2 linked regions of the Oryzias latipes genome follow. The protein of the gene in region 2 binds, or shares a complex with, the protein of the main gene of each other region. Links are inferred from orthologs where the notes say so. Each region holds a gene or a part of one and is shown on either strand. Other genes may lie near its edges.

The links.
Region 1: os9 (region 2) and ube2j1 share a complex: the UniProt entries of both Homo sapiens proteins name them as parts of the HRD1 complex. The link is inferred for Oryzias latipes from reciprocal best matches to the Homo sapiens genes OS9 and UBE2J1.

The regions. Positions count from the first base shown.
Region 1 is NC_019882.2:20,254,023-20,258,296, reverse strand, and holds the start of ube2j1 (ubiquitin-conjugating enzyme E2 J1), read right to left. Parts: upstream 3,100-4,274; 5' UTR 2,801-3,099; coding exon 2,770-2,800; intron 1-2,769. UniProt on the Homo sapiens protein: Catalyzes the covalent attachment of ubiquitin to other proteins. Functions in the selective degradation of misfolded membrane proteins from the endoplasmic reticulum (ERAD) and is essential for cells to recover from ER stress.
Region 2 is NC_019863.2:4,136,470-4,139,536, reverse strand, and holds the end of os9 (protein OS-9), read right to left. Parts: coding exon 3,061-3,067; intron 1,574-3,060; coding exon 1,433-1,573; 3' UTR 519-1,432; downstream 1-518. UniProt on the Homo sapiens protein: Lectin component of the HRD1 complex, which functions in endoplasmic reticulum (ER) quality control and ER-associated degradation (ERAD).

The sequences.
Region 1 (4,274 bases), on a different chromosome or scaffold from region 2:
AAATGAATACTACAGATGATCACCAGTCCATTTACTGGGTTGAAAAAGGGAATATCGATTCTGTCTAATTGAGGAAAATGTATATAACTATAATCATGCAATAAAAGCCCCATCACAGAATGAATTTACATGAAATTGCGACGGCACAGTTGTTAAAGAGAACTTTTCAAATTGGTATTTCATGACATAAATGTTGCTGACCCCTGGTTTAGAGACTTTGTTGCAGAGACAGGAAGCAAAGATGGAAGTAGCAGAGGTGAAGATGTTGCGGTTCTCTTTGGGAGATACCAGAATGGATCAGGAATGAATCCATCAGAGGAACAGATCATGATAGATGATAAATGCAGGGAAGCAGATGGAGATGGTTTGGACACTTTTAGAGGAGAAACAGTGATGATGTTGGAAAAAGGATGCTGAAATGCTGTTAGATGTAGCAGGAAAGAGGAAGACCAAAGAAGTTCATGGATGTAGACAAAGAGGACAATACGATTGTTGTAATGAGTGAGTAGAGGGTTGGATGGAGGGAGAGAAGAAAAATAGTGTTCCCTTATTATATTGCGGTTCAACTTGTGTACAAGCAAAGAAATTTCTGTACAATTTTGCATACTTACATCCTGATTGGTTGTTGCCCTTGTCAATCAATTATCTTCATTTTTTTTTCTATACAGAATGCCTTCACTGTGCCAAATTTACAAAAATCTTCCATCGGGATTAGATCTTTGTTTTTATTCTATAATACTAGAGTTGGTTTTTAATGAAGGTTTGAAATCAAACAATAGAGAAAAGTGTGAGAATGTTCATGTGTGTCTAAGAAAAGTGTAGAAAGTGTATCGTGAGGAGTTTTAAAGCCTTAAAACATCTGTAATCCTACTTCGTAGATTTCACCAATCGCAGGTAATTTATGGAACATATCCCCCGCAATAGAGAAGGGAACACTGAAAACAAATGAAGAAATGCCATTTTTTAATAAATGTTTTCATAATTATATTGTTATGGAGGACTGTGAGGATGGAGGATTGTATCACTGATTCGCGGTAGGAGTTTAAACATAAACAAGATGGGGTGTCGGTCAGGACACATGGAGATGTGACTCCACTTGGCAGATGCTCTGAATTTATTCTATTGCTGATTTATCCAAGTCCCTCTGCAAACAACAAAAGACTCCTCTCACCACTACATAAATAACACAAACTGGCCTGCTGTAGATAAAGTAAATTACATAAAACAAGGAAAACTGACTCAGTGGGTCAAAAATTAACTCCTTATAATATGTAAAATATAATTAAATCTGAAAACCTCATAGAAAACGTGGCCGAGGAAATAACTGCATGAATAAAATGAGTAATGATTTAAACTCTTACGTTTTCTCAGTTACTCAAAATTGAAAAATACAGCAACTGGAATGAACTGAAGATGCAAGACAGGGTTGTAGGGCAACTAGAGTCTGTCTCTGCTGAGCTGCTCCAGAGCACACGTAAAAACAAAAACCCAGAAAACCATAGAAGAAGAAAGAAACTCCACATCACTTCCTGTGATGTCATCAATAATGGGCTGAGCCTTCACAACATATATAAAGCCCTTTAGTATATAAAAGACCAGAAATGGGAATTGGGTTCATATTTCATTTTTCCAATAAAGCATTGAATTAATGCTAAAATTTGTTAATGGACAAAAAATTAAGTACATTTATTCGTAGAGTATTCAACATAATTTCCTTAAAAAAGTCAATTGAACTTTGGGGAATAGTTCACCTTAGTTTCCTTAGGTAACTAATAACACCCTGGGAACAATATTTCTTCATCTGCTTTACAATTATTCTTGGTGTACTATTTTAATTATGTGAGTTTCCCTATCCTGATGCAGAAGCTGTGAAACCAGCACCATGTAGGCCTTAACACACAGCTGCAACCAGACACTATCAGGGCTTCCTGAGTGCAACCGAAAGGGATTTCCAGAGACACTGAACAAACGCCACGTACTGCCAGTGTTTGTCGTCCCGCTCGTTGCCTGAAGGCCAGATGGAAACATCAACTCCCACAGGAGCAAGGACATTTGATTAGAGCTGCTGAGGTGAAACAACTGATCTCACCTTCACATTTCTACCGTCAGCTTCAATGAACACATGAGTTACTTCATCTAAATTCATTTAATCAGCTGTAACTATAATCAATAACATGGATTTATAATAGTGAAATAATATATTAAAGTCAATTATCAGTATGGTTTGTGGAACAGACGTGCAGTTGTGTCATTGTCACATTTGTTTATTCAAATCCAGACATGTTTATCCTAAAATTATTATTATTATAATTTCCTTTTTGTTTGTTTAAAGCTAATCAGTAAATTAGGTTAGAGAACTCTCCTTAATCATTTCTTTTAGTGATCCAGAGGAGCACATGACTGAATGTGCAGAAGCTGAGGAAACAGATGAAAAGCCAAAAATAAAAGACATTTTAAAAAGCCTCACATTTGTCAGGAAATGGATGTGTGCTATTTTCTACATTTTGTAAACATTAACCATCAATCAGACAAGTTGAGTCCGCCAGCAGGAAAACAATAAAACGTTTATGACGTAAAAAATAACAAAGTTTAGATTTTCTACATCAATGCTCGTACCAAACTGTCTGTCTGTAAAAAGCTCGTTTGACTCACTCTGCCAGCGTTAACGGTTATGTTCTCATAGATCGTGGACGTCTGCTCGGTTTCAAATTCAATGTGGAGGAAACAGGTCAGTTTGTGCCGAACATTGTTCAAAGGACCAACACTTACCGGGGCTCTTCAGGTTGTATTTGTTCTCCATGTTGGCTTTTCAAAAAAAAAACTAAAATTCCTGCAGCTAGGTCCTCAGGAGCTAGCACAGCAGCAGCAGGAGATCTTCGCCTAGCTAATGTCTTCTGAGCGAAAACGCGGCTATAATACTGTGAACTGAGCTTTCCCTGTCCTTCCCGGAGGTTCAGCCCACAGCTGACAGGCAGGAAATTCGGTTCCGGTCCGTACGGGAGCGCGGTTGAAGTTTTCAGTGAAGTTATTTGAGCTTTCGCTTTCCAAACACTCTTCTCTGGTCGGTATTAGTGTGACGTCAGTTACGGAACGTAAACAGGAAGTGATGTCATGGAGTTCGCAAATGAGGCGGGGTTTGTCAGCTTTATTGTCATTGGTCAATTCACAACATCTTATCTGCAAAGTTTCAAAGATATTGATGTAAGCTGCTCTTTTTGTCAAGAACAACCTGAAGTTGCTGCACATTTATTTTGGTCATGTCCCTTTTCCACAAAACTCTGGTCTAAAGTTTGACATTTCATTTCCGCCCACATAGACTCAGACTTCCGCCTATACTCAGAACATGTTATGTTTGGCCTCACCCACTCTCCATCTCATAATAAAGAACAATTATACATCATTAATCTCCTTTTGTTTTTATGCAAATGGAACCTTCATAAATTCAAAGTTACAAATCATACCCTTCATTTTTCTATCTTTTTCAATGAGTTCAAACAATACGTGAACACAATAAGAAACTCTGACAATAAGAAAGCCATTAAAACATTCGATCTGTGCGTCAGTTTGAATGTCTTTGTGTAAAATGTATTAATAACTCCCTGGTTTGTTCCTTTCCTGTTGTTGTCTGGCACTGCTGTGTAATGGACCGTTGCTTTCAACAAGGTTTGTTTAAAAAAATTCACGTGTTGAAGTGAGCATCCGTCAATAAATAAATAAATAAATATATAAGTAATTAAAATACCGTAACCAAGCACATTTACTGTATATTTGACTAATTTATTTAAATATGTTGTTCCCCCCACTTTAACTAATTTTCATTTAAAATGTTGAACTCTTACTTTCTCAATGAGATATACTATGAATTTTTTATTCATCTTTTTCGATGGTGAACATCTATTATCATAGGTTCATTACTTAATATACCTTTATTATGGCCCGCAGCACTCACAGAGTGCAAGGACCATATTGTAACTGCTACGAGGGTCGAACACTCAAAAAGGTCCAAAACGTCAAAAATCGCGTCAAAACGCCAAAAAACAAGGCCAAAAGTCGCCCAAAGCACACAACGACACGACAATTGTGTAACGCAACAAAAATACACACACACACGCACAACACCATCACACAAACGTTAAAATTGTAGTCGCAAAAATGACGACAAAACCCCCAAAAAGCCCTCAAAAGACGAGTTTAAAGCCAAAAAGACATGCCCAGCCTATAGTAAAAGACTGGCCGCATTGAAATACATAGGCCACCTGACTGCAAAAACTTCT
Region 2 (3,067 bases):
TAACTAAATAACACAGTTTAAGTGGTGATTCGCCTGTGATTCTGGTGCTACTCCAATTTTAATAAAAGCTGGGGTTCAATAGCAGAATTTGTTGCTGATGTCATCTGACTGAGTATAACCTCTAATTTATTGTTTCTAGATCATATTTATAAGACAAACAAGAACAGATAAGAAGTAAAGTGTATTTTTAAGTTTATGAAACCTGTGTGGTTTCCAGTAAAGTCTTTATGTTTGCACTCGTCCTTCCTTCTTCCTAGATCGTCGCTGGAACAACCCAGCTGTTTGCTGGAACAGCCGAGTTCCAACACTGAATCTTACTACAGACAACTAATGCAGTAGTCTTTACCATGGCGTAATGTTCTTTGCAGTTTGGGATGACAAAAATAATCAAAATAGAATTAGCTGTGCTTAAAAAGAACTCACTGTTTTTACATGTGCATTGTATAATAAAGAGCTAAATCTAAATGAAATAGTAAACATAGTTACTGTCAATGCGTTTTCCATGAAGGACAGAGGCAGAAATTGTAAGCACGTTTACTCAAACAGCTTCATTATCATGTAAGCAGTGCAAACATAAAAAACAAACAAGATTCAGGAACATACTGAGCTAAAACTCATGTAAATACAGAAGTCCAGGTGGCCGTGTACAAAATCAGCCCTTTACGTTCATGTTTGAAGGGTTTTATGAGCATTGCAGGTTTGTTTTTCTGTGCTAAATCAATTAAATGTTCATGTTCAAAACAGACTTAAATAGGCCTTCCAGCGTTTTTTTATTGGAACAAAAAAAGACTTTCATTTTCCCTGAATCTTTTCATCTTGTGCACAAATAAAAGCATGTCTGAAGTGAATTTAAACTTTTAACCAAAATCGTCAAGAGCTGGAATGTCAATCAACTAGTTTATAATGTTCTGCTCCACTGCTGTTTTAGGTAAAAGGAAAAAAAAAAAATCATATAAATAGCAAAATAGATTTAAGTGGAGCTTCCTGTGCAACCTCACATGCTCTATTGAGTCCAACTCCTCTTCTGAGTCCCTCACTTGTACAGTAAAGATCATCGATGGCAAAACTGCAGACAGCTGTGGCAAACATGTTGGCGACCTCTGAACGGGAAGCAAGAAAATGTCTAACGATGCATCAGCCTGCTATTTTCCTCATTTATGAAAACAGAATCCCATGAAAGGGAAAATAACAGCTTTATTTAACTGCACTAGAACAGCAGACACTGTGCAACACATGAACGACGCCTGTTGAAGGCATCAGGTTATTGCAGTCTTAAGACACACACGCTCTTCCTGAATGTGCAAAGTGTCATCATTGGCTCGATTCAGCAGCAACCAGGAGGATTCTCCCCATTTGTGATGACACCTTCACGTTCTCCCCGTCGGGCTCCTGATGACTGGACCGGCAGAAGAGCGGCGGTGACGGCGTGAGCTCATACGTCCATATCGTCAGAGTCCGATGATGTGCTGGAGGACTGAGATTCCTCCCGATTCTCTCCCCACACAAACCGATAGTTGTTCTCCAACTCCTGCTGCCTCTTTTGTTCCTTGTAAACTTCCTCAGTGCCTCCAGTCTGTGGGAGGGGGGGGGGGGACGACAACAGATCCAGAGTCACATGACCACTGCCAGAGTTCAATATGAAGAAACCTACAATTGTTCGCATGAACATGGATCCCAAGCTGAATGTGTTCCTCTGTGTGTGAAAGCGTCCAGCAGGGATCAGATGTGGATGCCGTTGTTAAAGCAGAACCGTACATTCTAATGAAAATAAAAGTTATACTTTGATCAAATCTTTTTTAATCCTGACGCATTTGAATATTTAACACCCCCCCCCCCCCCATTATCTGAGAAAAAAAAAAAATCACCGTTGACGCATATATGAGGTGATTGAAAGACCTACTCCAATGAAAATGCATTTTTTGGGTGTGTTTTTAACATGCTCACAGCAGCATTTTTCTCACGAATGTGGACATACATAAAGAAAATTCAGCTCAAAGTTGCATTTCTGATCATTTGTGATTCAGGAGCAGATGAATAAACGCTGCTTGAAAAAGCTATCAGTTGTTCTGTACAAACTACAATCAGCGAGACACAGTCTTCCTGCTCCGCTCCATTCTGATCATCCACTGTCAGACCAATAGAAACATGAACGTCTTTGTTTTCCCCTGTCTGAGCTGGAATCTGGCTGGACAGCTCCTCCATTGCTCCACTTTTGTTGCACTGTTAATGTTGGGTTGTGGGTGTGAGGGGCTGTAAGCTAGCTGGAGAGCATGTAAACAGACTTCACAGCAACAGTGGGGAGGGGTTAGTCTGTGCCAACCATCCCTGCTCACAACTCAGAGGTGAATGTGATTAAAAAAGTTGTTTTATTTCGGCTAAAAACGCCATAATCATAAAGAAAAGACCACTGGGAATGTTTCTACATAAGGGGATCAGAGTAAAACACCTGAAAAATGCAACAGAAAAGGAAAACCTTTTGGGTTTAGTTTTTTTTTTTTTTTTTAGATTTTCCACCTATCCCACAAATCCGAAGTCCACAAAACTCAACTCTGACAAATCAGAAACTCTCCATCACAAACATTTCCCATCACTATTCTAATCCAATCACAGGACACTTTCTGTTTTATTTTTTAATAAAAGAAATAATAGTTGCTCAAAAGCTAAATTAAAGGTAAACCTTTGCTACAGTGAATTATTTTTCTTTTAAAGTCAACTGTAATTGATTAATTAATTAACAGAGCTTCAATAGATGACTCAATGGAGAAAAGGCGACGCCGTCTCAGTCTTTTCTGGAATATTTGCTTACAGCCGATTTGCATAACTAACACTTTCAATTTATATACAGCAGACCTGACTTGTCTTTGTGTTTAGAACAGACAGAACACCACAAAGATAACGGTCTAAGTATTTCAACACAACTGGTGTTGGTTTTCTAACCTTTCTAGTTTGGACAGGTTTTAACTTACAGTCCAAACAGAAAACTAAGCAAACACATGGAGCTGTGTGAGACGAAACCCGGGAAGAAATGTTGTAGTACAAGTACGACAGTTTTGCAGTTACCAGAAGG